2 linked regions of the Oreochromis niloticus genome follow. The protein of the gene in region 2 purifies or fractionates together with the protein of the main gene of each other region. This does not show direct contact. Links are inferred from orthologs where the notes say so. Each region holds a gene or a part of one and is shown on either strand. Other genes may lie near its edges.

Region 1 (7,938 bases), on a different chromosome or scaffold from region 2:
CTGTGACAACCTCCCACATGATCTAAACTCTTTCACTCTTTGCTTCTTCTCCTTGCTTTTAACTGTTATTCACACTTTTTCTCTTCTGTTTTTCCCCTTACGTCATTCTCTGCGGCTCAACCCTCTCACTTTATCACTCTCACTAATCTTAACTACTCGCTCATTCTCATTTCCTAGTCCTTTTATCCCCCCATATTTCATCCATTTCTCTCAGTTTCATTCTCAGTCATTTCTCACTGACATAATCCACGCAGCATCCATGGTGTTGGTGATTTATAAGCATTTGGATACGAGTCTGGAATTTCTCATCTCATGTCTGCTTCTTGCTAAAGTCCTGTCTTCCTTTAGCTTTAAACAAGAAAAAACACGTCCTCCTGTCTATTACACACAGTCTCTACTTTGCAAACTTTTTCATATTGAAATCAACTCAGTGCCAAAGGTTTGCAGCAAAATGTCTGAACTCCAGAGTAAGCTGACTTGTAACTCGCTTAAAGATGCAGCAGCAATTGATCAGACAGGTATAGTTCTTTGATGCCATTGCTGTTTTTAAATAGAGCATGAAGTTGGAACTCTGTTATGTTTGTTCATGAAGTGCTCACATATACCTCCCAAACAAGAATGTCCAAGTGAATTGTGAGCCAGAATGTAATGCTCTTGATCTCCTTGAGTTACTTTAAGACTGAACTGTTCTCTTTGTTTAACAAAGCTGTGTGTGCAGAAAGCAATGACATGTCTTTGCTTGTAGCCCTTCCCCTGCAGGAATGTAGAGCCAAGAAGAGATGAAGCAAAGGGCAGAAGAAAGCATATGTGCAAAGATTCAATGGCATAAAGGTTGAAGGGAGAACATGGTGGGCAAAGACTAGTTAGTCTTTCCTTCTGTAAGGGGCATGCTAAATTAATGTGAATGTTTTAATGCCATGTGCTTCATATGAATAGTGAGTTGAGACTGGTGTTAAAAGCACAGCTGCTTATTGCACTCTTTATAAGCCCAAAATTGTCTGTACAAAGTATGTGTAAGCACTTTCTAGCTGATCGTAGTCATTGAAGCTGCCTTTTTTGGTGGAGGTTTTGCATTTGCACAGACATACAGACCATACGTGCCCATTTATCTCCACAATTTTGCAGAAGGGAGAAAATTACAGATGTTGCTGCTTTTTTTTTTTTTTTTTTTTTTTTTTTTTTTGGATCAGATTTTTTCTTATTTTTGGTTGGTAGGGGGCCTGGTAGCAGATGCTATATTTTTATTAAACAGATTTTGCTTCTGCAGTTATGTACTGCAGGCCAGGTCGCTGGGTTCATGGTCCAAAGTGTCTCCCTGGCCCTGCTGACCTTTATCCGTGCCTATAGAAAACCCCCAGGCTCTAAAGACCTTCGGTCTGTGCTGTTGTTACTGCTTAAGACCTTACCTAAACACAGTGCACACTCCCACACGCCCAGAATGCAACACCAACAGGTCATATACAGCAACTTGGAACTACTCTGTTTCCGATTCATTTATTTTGGGTTTTAACACGGTTGGGTGCCTGACCTGTCTGTCATTTTGTCCCCAGCGATGATTGGCTGGAGAGTCACTGTGGCCAGACCAGGACTGGTCTGTTGCCAGGCCCCAAGGCGCATCTGCTACGGTCGTGACTCATGTAGCTCTGGCCTGGAATCAGTGTTTTCTTTGTCTTAAATACGTGGAATTTGTCCACTGACTTTTAGACTCAACCTGTTGAGCCAGCTCCAGAGATCACTGTTCACAAACATGTTTTATCCAGAATCTTCTATTCCACTTTATCATTTTAGTGATAATAAAAACTTTCAGCAGATTTTAACACATAAATTTGAATTCACTCGACGCCTTTTGCGCTGTTTTGCTTATGACGTCAGTGCTGTGGTGAATGAATATCTTACATTTCTTACAGTGCTTATTTTTCTTGTCTTATCTGTTGGTCTGATCAGTTCTGACTATAATTATCATGCTTAATGTTGTTTTGGGTTTTTTTACGGACATCAGATTAGGGCTTTACTCATCTGTCAGTATCAGTGATGTCAGTGTTTCCATAAATTGCCTCCATTTATTCTTTTTTTTTTTTTCTTTTCTTTTCACAAGCGTCCTGTTTTGTAATTAAATCCAATCCTTTGGCATCTCTTAATTAGGGTGGTCATTTTTGATTAGTTTAACATCCTTCAAGCAGCTTCCAGGTACTGATAAAAGTCAGTCTTTCTGTGGTTTTGCTTGTTAAACTAATCTACAAATTGTTGTTGCTGTGGATTTTACATCTGTAACCTTTTTTATAGTGGAAAAAAGTTCCTACACTTTCTCAAGAAGTACGCCTTACCCACAAACAAATGGATGTGTGTTCAGAGAATGGAAATTTGATCCTGTATCTGCATTACTGGCAGGTCATTACCGGACTTGGCCTTTTCTATCCAACCTTTCCTGTGTTATTAGTAATTTACAGCAATATCTGTTTTGTTGAAAGCAGGTAGCCTTGTCTGCGTATTTGAGGGGGAGGAGATTGTGATGCCAGCAGGGAGGGAAGAGTAAACCTCTGTGTGAGAGACAAAGGAATGTGGCAGTTGGTTTCCATTCACGTCAGACGTTGCATAAGAGAGGTCTGACTTGTACATCATCAGAATCCACATGGTCACACAGCGCTGCAGACTGCAGTCGTGATCACCTACTGCTCATTTAGTAAAAGAAAGGTCTAGTTTAGGTTAAGAGATGCCGCCTCATCTAATTTTCATGCCCAATTCACTAAAACGTTTTGTTCCCACAAGTGATTGTCGAGGCCAAGCGCTAGTGATCCTGAATGGATGTTTTCTATTTTCAGCAACCACTTGGGTCCAATAGTTAGAAGCAAATTAGTGGAAAGTTCCTCAAGCATGGGATTTCCATTATAGCGACACACTGTTTTCTCGTGATTACATGTAACACTTTTAACAGCAATATCACACTGTGATAGACCACATAGAAATGTGATTTTAGTGTTTATGATGTCCTGTAATGCGTTATTATAAAATTCCTTTTATGTTATTTTTCATCATTAAAATGACACCAAAAAGGATTGAAACTATTAGCAGTTTGAAGAACTTCCCAAAATGACAGTAAACACAAGCAGAAAATGACCAAGAATTGATGCAAATTTGCTGTACATTTTGGAATATTTAGAACTTTTTTTTTTTATGTTGCTGAGACCTGTAGACTTTTGATAATGACATATATATATATATATATATATATATATATATATATATATATATATATATATATATATATATATATATATATATATATATATATATATATAGCCCTCAAAACAAACTACTCCCACGTCTGATTATATATCCCCTTCTTACCTCTTGCTTACACAGTGACTGGTTAAGCTGCACACTTATTTGTTCCTGCTTACACACACACTAAGCCAGACACCCATGGCACCCCCCCCCCCCCCCCCCCCCCCCCCCTTTTTTTTATCAGTTTCTGTAGTCTTTATGATGAGGCAGGCTGATACTATAATTAGCATCTTAAGAACAGAGTCTGTGCCCTGTTCTGGTCTCTCTCTCGCTGTCTCTCTCCCCTCTTCCCCAGACTCCTCACAGCTGGTATCGGAGCCAGAGTGACTCAGTGTGCACCCGTAATGTGGTATGCAGGATGTGGGTGCAGAAAGGTGCCTATCTGACTCGCTGTCTCTTAGATTTTTTTTTTTTTTTAATCCATATAAGGGTTAACCATAAACAAGTACTACATATTCCTTACACACTCTGACAGTCTCTTCATCTTGCTCTTAAAACTGCATTCCCCGACTCAAGGCATGCACATAGCGCTACACAATCCCATAGATTTGTGTCCATGCATGAATCCATACTATAGCCAGGCAGGCACACTAAGTTTTGTTTGAGAAGATGGAGGAAAAACAGACAGTAAAGGAGTGAGGCAGTGAAACGCGCAGAGAGAGAATAAGAGGGCTCATCTGTTGTAAGGCAGTAATTAGAGGGAAGAACAGCGAGGGAATGATAACTTAGTAACACTAGTTGTAATCTTCTCATGAATGGAACATCTTCCACTTGTCTGTGTTCATTTACACTAGCACATTTTGTACTTAAGTGTTGTCGCTTCAGCTCTTTACTGATAATTTAATTAGAATTTATATCATACCTGTGCTTTTAAAAAAAATATCTCAAATGAGAAATGCAAAGAAACCTCCAGATGTTTTTTACAGATCTGCCTTTGGCTTTTAAGCAGGCTTTGTTTGATTGGCTCACTGGTTCTTCAGCTTTTACAGCATGTCTGAACTCGCCTGACTGCTGCCAGCCTATCATAAATGAACTCAAGTGAAGTTCAGAGTGAACAGAAGGAATGTTGCTCAGCATGCAAGACAATTAAAGTGAAGGAAGGTTTTAATGATTATTCTAACACAGGAATAAACGATTTTTACTTACACTTGCAAGGCTTTTCATCCACAATTTTCATTTTCGGCAGATGAGTTTGAGCATTATTTAAAATGCCTGTATTGGTTTTAGTTATATTTGCACCGACTTATTTTGTGAAAGTTAACAACTTTAAGAATGCATATGCAGTTTCACTGTTGTAAACCCAGAAACGGTCATGCTTGTGTAAATCCGTTGTATTAGAGCAGGTATATAAAGTCTAGCGACACCTTTTTATTGTGTTGTAGTCGTTTACCTGCGGACCACCTGTTGCTACATCGTAACTGCAATTCTGGGGAAAGGCTGAACCACGTCCACATGGGCAGACACTGACGTCACAACACCCCACCCCCTTTACACTTTTCTTCCCCTCTGTGATTGGACGAGGGCGACAGAGGAGGAGCGCCTTTCTGTAAAATGTGCTCACAAAGTTGTTTTTTTTTCTCTACCCTACAGTGAGTCACAGCTTCTCATAAGTCCCAGCGTAGTGTTTTTACAGGCAGACTACAGCTTAACAGTATTAAGGAGAGACTCTGACATCTGTCTTCATGTTTTAAGCTATGGTCAGAGACTCTTACTCCTTTTCTGGAGATAAGAAGGTCATGCACCCTCAGAGAAACTCTAAAACCGGACTAAGTTGCAAAATGGTGCTCCAGGCAGTCGGAAAAGTACTAAGGTAAAACTTACAATACTTTCGAATTAAAATATATTTGCTATTAACTTGAGTTTCTACCCTGTGTTGTTGCTTTTAATGAAGCGTGCAGTAGGTTGTTTTAGTGTTGGAAAGCTGCTTTTATCGAAGACGCAAAAACCCGCGTTGCCTTTGCGTGTTGATTTCACCGCCTTCTGATTACAGCAGCGATAACAGTCAAATATTTGTTTTGTTTTTGTATCTAAAACTAGAAAGTCTCTAGCCTGTGGTTAAATCAAGATAAACTTGCTGCCTCTTGTCTGCAGTAATTACACAAGTATTAGGCTCCTGTGATTCTGGGGTCAGTGCAAATTATCAGGATCACCTGAAAACTACTAATTCCTTTCGCTGCAGCTCTTAGCAAAACTCAACAAGAGCAGGAGAAATGTGACACTGTCTTCTCATCCAGTCTAATAAAATATTAAAGACGCCTGTAGTATTTTAACATAGTTAATTGTGTTAGTCACAGAAAATGATTACCCCCCTCCTTTTTTTCCCTTAAAGTAAAAATGATTAAAAGGTCAATTATTTGCCAAGGTGATGTGTAATTAGCCTTTTAGTTTATAAAAAAGAATTTTACTGCTATCTACTGGTCATGATATGAAGGCTCAGACTTAATACCTGAGGAATGCCTGACCCCAATATAAGGGTTAACTGTGTGTTTGTGTGTCATACAACGTGATAGAGCTACGCCAGTTATACAGAACAAATTCGTGTCCCCCCTCTTAGTGTCAGAGACCCACAGTCATTATGACTGTGTTCCTCCAGGGGACAGACAGTCATGTTAATGCTGTGATGAAGGTTCCTGTTACTTTTCAAGTCTTCGGCCAGGTGTGTTTCTTTTCAAGCAGCAGCCCAAAGGGCACATGCCTCACATCCTGTGGTGTTTTATGAAGATGTGGAGAGGGATGGTGAGGGGACTCTCCACTATTGTAGGTTCGCTTAATATATTCTAGGCTGCATATTAAGAGCAGCAGCAGAAAGTGTTGTTGTACAGTATGTTGTCTTCTGCAAGATCTGTGGCAAGTAGAAACAAGTTTTTCTGCTCCTTCTTTCTTGCGAATTCAACCCCTGTGCTCAAGAAATTAGCTGATCACCAAGAAACTACAGCCTTAATGTATTTGCCTCAGGGGTGATTGCGGGGAGGGCGAGTGGTTCCAGAAATCTTGAGTAAAAACTAAATAAAATTACCCTGTTCGGGTTAACAAAGACACATAGTTTGGATTACATAAGGTGGGTGGCACCTTAGAGCTTGTTATAGCTTTTGTTTTAACCTATTTCCTCCTTCAGTCAGTGATTCAATGCCCTTGACTTAGACGCTGGTATGAATAGAGGTTAGACAAAAGATGGCTTTTAGCTATTTTGCCTTACCTGTTCTTGTCTTTTTACAAGTAGATCGATCAGGGTGTAGAGAAATTTGCTTTATTTCAGTATTTTGCTTCCTGTTGTGTTAAATCAATTCAAGATTACACTCCCAAGTGGTTAAGTCCCAAACCCTATTCCTGTTACATGTTTGTTGTTATGATGATGAGGCTCGAATGTGGTGCTCACAGGGGTTTCTTGCATATTGTGCTAGACTGAGAGCCAGTAACTGGGATGTTTGATAGGATAACATGTAGAAGAAGAGGTAGCTAGGACAGGGCCAGTAGAGAGTGTGTGTGTGTGTGTGTGTGTGTGTGTGTGTACATTTACATATGTTTAGGTCTGCACTCTGGCTCCAGTTCTCATTTACTAATTTGCGTGGCTGCTTTCTCCCCCAGTAAAGGCGTTGATTAAGTGGTGACAGCTGCACTGTTGTAGTTTTTGTTTTCTTGTCCAAAAACTAAAATTGGCAAAATATTCAAACTATACTTAACTCTGAATAAGGCAATACTTTTCTGACTTACCAAGGCTGAACGTCAGGTTTAGTCGATGCTTAAGTCAGTCTCTTTTTTTAAGCTCTGTAATGGCTGCTGTGGTGGAGCTTTGGTGCGCTCAGACTGCTTGCTTTTTTCCCCTCTTTGTGGTTTTTCAGGGCAGGGTGCCATTGGGTCTATTTAATTTAAGTCCTGAAATAGATCAGCAGACTTGGAGAAAGCTGCTTATTTAACAAAATAGCAGAGTTCATTCACTCCATCCTGGTCTTATCATGAAATTTCAGTATTATCCCGGGTTTTATCACACTTGTTTGGTTTTTTTTCTTCCTTTTTTTAAACTTGACTAGCATAATAATAGGCTTAGAAATGAGACTGTCACGTGTTTTTTGAGGTCTGGGCATGTTTTATTTCCTCGCAATATGACCTTCAGTGGATGCCAGTGCTTTTTTGGGGGGGGGGGGGGTTCTAAGAAGAGAACAGAGAGTTGCTTTATATTTATACATTTTTGTTTATTGTGCCAGTGCATTTGATTTTTTTTTATTAGTCAAATCAAAGCTCTTGATATAGAAAGCAGCTGTCTAAAAGAAAATGGTAAAAAGAATTTGTCAGTGTCACCCGACCAGATTGCATTAAATGCGTCCATATGCCATTCGTTGGATACCCCTGTTATCGAAAAAGCCAATTCAAGCAACAGTTGTGTAATATGTTGCTTGCTGGGAGCCAGAGGCTCAAGAGGAACATGGGTTTTGTTGAACAGGTTTTCTTTGTTTGTGTTCAGCTCACAGAAAAACCAGTAAAAACTGAAAATGTTGGGGTTTTTTTTTTTTTTGTTTGTTTGTTTTTCCAAGCATTAATGTCAGTGATTTGGTGATATGGGGTGATTTAATAATTTGGTGATATGGAGATGATTAACTATGGAAACAAGAAGTCGGCATGGTCTGAATACTCCTGAAGCAATTTAGTCGCCAATTTATG
Region 2 (7,843 bases):
TACTAAAATATGACGTCTGAAAAACGAATAAACTGTGACGTGTGGTGCTTAGTGCTGTGCACACTGTTTGAATGTTCATGACAGCCACTGAATTAAAAGCTGAAATCTAAAATAATAAATCATCCGCCTATCTGACGTCGGGTTGCAGGGCCTGCAGCAGGGAAGCCCAAATCTCCCTCTGCTACCTCCTTCAACTTATCGGGAGAAACATCGAGGCGTTCCCAGGCCAGCCAATCGATATAAGCTTCCCAGTGTGTCCCAGGTCTACGCTGCGGCCTCCTCCAAGTAGGACATGCTTGGTCTAAATACTTTACCGAGGAGGCGACAGCTTTAGCTGTGTCCTTTCAATGTGGAGGAGTAGCAGCTCCCAAATGACTGAATTCTTTATCTAAGGGAGAGCTCAACCACCTTTCGGACAAAGCCAATTTGTATCCGCAATTTAATTCTAATATTGTTAACAAAAAGATTACGCCTAGATTTACAGATTCATGGTGTTTCTCAACAACAATGTGCCATCTGGTGGCAGATAGCTGCCTAACATTCAGGACACAATAATATATCGAATCATTATTCTGCCTGCCTGTCAATTCTTGCACTCTCACTACGATCAGCTGATTTCAGTTTGGATATGGACATTAGCTTTATTGCACAAAAGGATGAGAGCGCAATGGTAAAGTGGAGGACAGAAACAACTGCCTCATACTGTTAACACAACTTTGGCTCTTTGAAAGCACCTGCACAGCAAGCATGCTAACGCTAAGCTAGCCAAGAGCCCAGAGTGATGTTAAAGCTGAGTAAATGCTGACCCCAGACCAGCACCATGATAAAGTGAGCCACAGCTGAACATCAACAGGTAACAAACTGATGAACAGCCAGGCTGCAGCTTCTGTTCTACCTGTTCACGTTCCTACAGTAGAATCTCTGTGGTGATCACTTTAAAGTGTCTTATATTTGATTTGTGTCATCAGCTCTGTTTTCATACCTAAATGCTCAGAGAAAGCTCAGGTGTGTCCTCATTAGGACAGGGATTTGTGTTGGTGTGTGGGGGTGTAGCCTCAGGTTTATATTATTAATTGGTAATTATCAGACAGTGTTTCACATCATTCAACATGAAAGTAACGTAACGAATCCTAGGTGTAATTAAGTAACGTACTGCATTACCTTCAAGGAAAGTATTCTGTGTAATATGTGCATTAATTACTTATTTCAGTAATGACTGGAACACTGATCACAACAAAGAGGGGAACACCTCCAACATGCACAAACGTAATTAATTTGCATGAATACGATGTCTTTGATATGCTGCTTAGACATGGTGGTGACTCAAAGTGGAGCCAATGAGAATTGATAAGTGATATCTATAATGGAGAAGAAACTGCTCAATTCTTCCCCATCCCTGGTGATTACAGGACCAGTGCTGCTGGAAACATGTTTCTCACTCAGCGTCTCAGTAACAGCTCAGCCTCTTTGCTCTTAATGGTGTGCACGCTCCATGTGACAACATCCTATTCACTTCAGCTGCTGTGTTATCAGTCTTTTTGTTTATAACTGGGGGCTGTGTGGGCTTAATGTTGTTATACTTTTTATTCACACGCTGCCCCTAAGTACGTTTCTGTTGCTGGTCTGTTTTTAGTCGCACATGTGGGTGAAGCACTCATGCTACAGAGTGGCGCAGCAAAACCTTTTATAATCGAATTACTCGATGAATTGTACACTATATTGTTACATACTTTTTGACAAAGGATTCAAACATGTATAAAGAAGGAACTTACACATCGGACTGTTTAACAATTTGTTTAGGAAAGCACACAGGCTTCCACTGTGGGAAATCAGCACACAGATATCTCCAACCTCCAAACCACCACTAATCCCAAAGAACCCCAAGAATTATCTCACTAAGTTTATAATGGTAGACTCATAATAGCATGCTTCCCTGCAGCCTGTACAGCTAACATTAGTAACTTTAGTTATATTTGGTGTGTGGGAGAGTAAATTAGTTTTTATGTGTAGTAAACAAATTCTATGGTTTAAATATTCAACACGTGACACAATTAGAGAGAAAAAAAAAGAGGTAAAAACAGAGGAAAAGCCCATTTCATGTTTTGTCAGACGTTTAGGACGTTTCACTGAAGCCCACACCCTCTGCCTTTTTCCGCAAGTTGCATCTGCTCAAAGTTTTATGATCTCAGATAAATAAGTACATTAAAAGAGGAAATAAATAAAACGCGACGGTCAAGAAATAGCATTGAAACCCGACAGGAGCCAACAACACGTAGTTCCGGATGCACGCAGTGCCGAAAGAGTCAAGAATTACGGATAGAGGATAACTTAAGCCAACACTCACAATCCTTCCTCAGTTCTCTTGAAGTTTAGAACTTTAAATTTACAAAGTTTCATTAATCTCACTCTACTACACTAACTTGCTATCATTAGTTAGCTAGCTAGTTTGCTATTAAAGTTCCTGCCAGCGTAAAGCCAGCGAGGGAAAACATAAGCGATACCCAATACTTCCTTCAAAATAAAACGGCCTTTTTTCGAGGAAATGTTTCGCCTCAGCTTTGAACGTACGCGTCTTTATTTTTTAAAGCCTTGACCAGAAAACACCGGCCTTCGTACCCACTGCTTTACAACTTGACTTGAAGTTCTCCAAAGCAAACAGCTAAGTGAAAGTTAGCTAGTTAACGTTAGCTACTTATCTGCTCAAAGCGCCCTAGTCGTTTGTTACAAGTACAATAAGGAACAAAAACACATACGCGTTACTTGTTTCACAAGGCAGCGAAAAGAAGAAAGCAGCTACCACAGCGACTTGTCGTCGTTTAATTCCACGTTTTAGAGTTACTCTTTGTTCGCTTACCTTGGTCGAAGGTGCGGTGTCTGTCGCCTCTTGCTCTGCTTTGCGATGAGCGTTGCGTCACCAGCAGTTTGAACTCAGCGGACACCTAGCGGCGCATCATGCCCTCCTCCGTGAGCCAGCACAGGAAAGACGGTTGATTTCTCCACTGCGCGTCACATACATGACACTGAGCGTTCACTCAAACATGTGGCAACATGTTAATAATTTGATTTTCATAAGACGACCGAGAAACAGCTCAACGGCGTTACTGCTAACAACAAATATGCACTGTACTGTAAGAAAGCAACATTATTTGACAGCAGTAACAAAGCTCTTTTTAGAATATAATAGTTTTAAAGGAATATTAAAATAATAATACACATTCAAAGGAAATCAAGAAAGCTTTAAACTCAGCAAACAATAAAGTTACAGCTATAAAATATAGGCTATTCTCTGCATAAAGAGAAATGAGTTGCCTCAAGTTTCGCAATAATATTTATTTTTGCTCTGTCCGGTAGTTAAACACACCCTGTTTTCTCTTTAGGATCCAATTTTAGGATAATGCATAGCTGGACTGGCCATCGGGCATACCGGGCATTTGCCCAGTGGGCCAATAGTGATTTTTCGTTTTTATGGGCCGATGGGTTTTTTGTTTTGTTTTGTTTTGTTTTTGTAACGGTATAAACAATGAAAGGTGGTGGATTGGCCAAATGCTGGTGTAAAAATAACTGAGTTGTTTGGTGGTGGCTATGGCGGAGCTACCATAAAGGCCAGCAGGTGGATGAGGGAAAGGGTAGGCAGGAGGAGGAGAGACCCGAGGCGGCCACCGGTCCGAGTGTCAGGTGAACTAAACTTCAGGTAAGAAGTTATGACCTGCAGTCTATCCGGGTCAGATATAAACCAAGTTTAGGTGGAGTTTATTTTCATTGTACTGACTTTTTACAGTCAGTTACAATAACTTGTACTGCGTGCTAGCTAGCATGATGGAGTTTCTAAACAGCTGGGTGGGTGCTGTGATGTTACTGATAGTGAACTTTATTTTATTCATGAGGTTAGTTAGTAAAGTTGCCAACCGTCCAGTAAAAAACAGAATCGTCTGGTATTCAGAGAAAATATTACGCGTTTCGTATTGAGGTGAAAAGGAACACAGTTTGTCCCGGACTTCAGCTAGAATGGAAAAGACACAAAGCTGGAGTTATTCTGTCTTTACGCTGCACAGCTGCCTCTTCTTCTCTCATTCTCTCCCCCTCCCTCTCCTGTTTCTACTTCAATCATGAAACTGATCAATGATCAGCTGATCGGCTTTTCTGTCTTGTTTGTTTATCGCCCACTTTGCGCCAGAAAGAGGAAACCAGCGGATGTCGCGTTAAACAACAGCAGCACCTTTAAGCTTGATCAGCTGTTGTTAGAATTTATTTAATATTAATTTCTAGTGTCAGCTGATGTTTGCTGGAGCCACAGCTGTAAAGCTGCTGGTCATGATGTCGGTTTGGATATGTGGTGAGAGGGAAACATGCAGATGAAACCAGGAGATGTCCTTACTGAATCATCAGAGCTGAACAGGTGATGGAGAAACAGGTTTACCTTTTAGGTGACATGGATGAGTTGAAGGGAAGTTATGAACTGTTTCTGAGAGACAAATAACACCAGGATGCTTTTCTATGTAGCTGACAGCTGGTAACTGTGCAGGGGCGGGTCTAGCAAAGTTTTGCCAGGGGGCCAGGTAGGGCATTAACAGGGAAAGGGGGGCACAAAGAAATACTTTTCTTTCTTACTCTCATTTAAAATGTCTCGCTTTTAAAAAAATAATTATCTGAATCTTAAAACCAAAGTTTTCATCTGATGTAAAATGTATAGAAATCATAAATATACCAAAAGACAGGGTACATCACTGTCACAACAGCGTTTGTTTTCATTCAAAGGCTTTATGGCTTTTCCTATAATACCTGGTGGGCCGGTCTCTAGTCAAAATGCCCGGGCCGATTTTTTGTCCCAGTCCTGCCCTGGGATAATGTATTGCTGGTAATGCTGGGAAAAGTTTCACACAAGTGTAAATGGATCATTAAAGATTCATAGGGTAGGGTAGACGGCTTGTTACACTTTCTACGCATGAATTGCTGATAATTGATACGCCTTTCAATAAACATTTCTCTATTAAATCAGAGCTTAAGGTGCTGCCTCCAAATGGGAAATGTTTTCATTTTTGCATTTACTTGGAACTAAAAGCCATTACCATCAACAACAGTCTGATACATTGTATGGGTATGTTTCCCCTACATAGATAATAATGGGGTTTTAGTAAAATATAATTTTTTGAAAGGATACACACGTAAACACATAGTAAGGGTCAAAAATTTTAGAACACCCCAGTTTTTCCACTTATTTATTGCAGTTCAAGTCGTTCAAGTCCAATGAACAGCTTTATATGGTACAAAAGTGGTGAACTGCCAGAGGTTAAAAAAAGGCAAGGTTACCTAAAACTGAAAAATAACGTACATTTCAGAATGATACAACATGGGTTAACAATTTAATCTGTTCTGCAACAATGGAGATTGATCAAGCCTTGAAAGCTGCTGCTACTAATTCCTACTGCTGTTCCAACATTTCTGGATTACGTCCAACCTCCTCTGTCTGCATAAAAGCAGTGTTGGAACACACTGTGGTACCAAACCCTCGTCAGCATCAGTTGAACAGTGTTGTACTGTAAGGTGTCAGAGACTACAGTTTCCTTCACCATCCAAAGGCTCAGAAACAAACTGTGACAAGAAGAGGTCTGCAGACCCAAAGACACAATCAGAGGACAAGTTTCTGAGAGTTAACAGCTTGTGTGATCGGTGGCTCACAGGACAACTCCAATTGCTTATTTTTACTATTCTTTCATTTCAGAGTGCAATGAGACATCAAACTTCATAATTTTCCAAAAAAATCTGGAAAAATTGGGGTCTTGTATAGCTTTTGACCATTAAAAAAATTATTTATGTATGTTTTTTCAGATAGAGATGTCAGTAAGTTTAAAAATGAACACCACCTAATGCCCCCATGAATTTGAAGCAGTGATAAATACTATGAAATATTTTACATACGAGCAGTGAAAGGAATGAATTTACAGTACTATAATCCTGTAGCTATTGTTAAAGCCAAAACAACCCAACTGTGGACAGATTCCAAATTCCATGGCTGTAATTTTTGTATTTCTAACTGATGTGTCATTGATATCATTACAAAGGACAGCCATGGAATTTGCCTACGTCTTTTTTGCAAGATTGAGAATAAAGATGAACAACATTAATATTAAACTGAACTGCTCTCCATATTAAATCGTGATGCTCAATCATCCAGGAAAGGAACGTCTTATGGTCTCTATTTAAAGGTTGCTAGTCTTGATCCAGTAACTCTATAACTCACTCAAAGTCACACAAGTCAGAGGAGTACAATCTCTGTGAGATCAGTTTATGCTTCAACACAAACTATTGTGCCAAGACATAAAGAAACAAAAACCCACTGCCTTTCCATGCCCTCTTGATAAACATTTGAACCTAGCTAACACATGGCTTTAGCTTTTAATAACTCTCCTTTAAAAAAAAATCTACTAATATTGTATTATCTTTTAATATAAAAACAACAACATGAAAAATGACCCTGGTCCATAAAAAGTACAAAGTACTTCCTCTCCTCAAACTTTTGTATTTTCCACAAACTGACCACTCCAAAACACAGACAGACTGTCAGGTCAACAGTGTCCTCTAATGTGGCAGCAACAATGTAGCAATGTGGCATCCAACCCAACTCTACCCCACAGTGTCGGTGTCCTGCATAGGCCAGTTTAGACCCTTCTTTGGGTGCTGAAGTGCCCCCAAATGTCATCACAGCACACCTAAAAATAACTATCAGTAGTAAGAGTAATGTATAGTATTAATTTCTGGCTTTGTGTTCACCTACAGGATAGAATGAAAACAGGTTTAGCGGTCCAGTGTTGTTGGTATCATACTGTCATACTCACACAGAGGTGTTGTGTGTGACACAAACTGGTGCTGTATAACTGGTGCTTTTTTTACTCCGGGAGAATAGAAAAGCACTATATAAGAATCAGTCCATTTACCATTTAAAATTAAATGGTTAGACCCCCGAATTTAAATTTGGAATGTAAAAAGGCTACATTATTACTACTACCGTTAATATTAATTACAAGGCACAGTATGCATGAGATTTTCAATGGGGGCTGAGCCCACCTAAAGGTTTGATCCTAGAGCTGCCCTGGTGTCCTGTTTTAGGATCGCAACAACACCATTGTTGCAAAAGTGCTTGCTGCCAACAGAAAAAAAATCAAGGAAAAGGTTGCATTTAACTTTTATTGCTCAACAGGAAAACACAAAGACTTTAGATGCTACTGAAAACCATCTTACTCTTCCCGCAGAGGTCCGAGGAATCTCCCGGGAATAGTGATTTATGGAAAACTGATTGGTCAGTAGGTGGTTTCATACCTACTGATCTCTAATCTGGAACCTAACCTGCCCTACAACGATTACCCTGACAATTTAACCCAATAAGAGCTGAATCACGTTCACAGCTGAAAACCCTCCAGTTACTTGGATAATCCAGAATCCTTCTGTGTAGCACAGGTCTCTGGTGTCCATTCCTGGTTTTAGTTTGAGTATCGTAGTCCTCCTTTCAGTTTATCTTGCCCGCCTTGTGTCTCCTGCGTCTCTGTTTGAGCTGTTCTCGTGTTTTGGTTATTTCCTGTTTTATTTTGGTAGCCTTTGTTATCTCTTGAGTTTAAGATTCAATTTTCTTCCCCTACTCTTGTTTCTACCAGACAGACTGTCAGGTCAAATATGTGATATCACAGAATTACACAGTACTCTCTATGTGGCAATAACAAGCAATGTGACAACTGACACAGGTCAACCATGCTCCAAGCTCTAGTGTCCGGCAATTTCCTCTCCTCTAATACAGGACTGCTCAAACCTGGGACTGGTGCTTGTCTTCTTCCTTTTCTTTATCTCTTATGGC

What was found. The genes of interacting proteins can lie anywhere in the genome.
Region 1: the proteins of stk38a (region 2) and mob2a purify together in Homo sapiens (affinity purification with mass spectrometry; 7 studies listed by BioGRID and IntAct, with this or other methods). This does not show direct contact. The link is inferred for Oreochromis niloticus from reciprocal best matches to the Homo sapiens genes STK38 and MOB2.

The regions. Positions count from the first base shown.
Region 1 is NC_031972.2:60,147,101-60,155,038, forward strand, and holds the start of mob2a (MOB kinase activator 2a), read left to right. Parts: upstream 1-4,852; 5' UTR 4,853-4,976; coding exon 4,977-5,092; intron 5,093-7,938. UniProt on the Homo sapiens protein: Stimulates the autophosphorylation and kinase activity of STK38 and STK38L.
Region 2 is NC_031984.2:35,168,911-35,176,753, forward strand, and holds the start of stk38a (serine/threonine-protein kinase 38), read right to left. Parts: upstream 3,003-7,843; 5' UTR 2,855-3,002; intron 2,823-2,854; exon of another isoform or gene 2,754-2,822; intron 1-2,753. UniProt on the Homo sapiens protein: Serine/threonine-protein kinase that acts as a negative regulator of MAP3K1/2 signaling. Converts MAP3K2 from its phosphorylated form to its non-phosphorylated form and inhibits autophosphorylation of MAP3K2.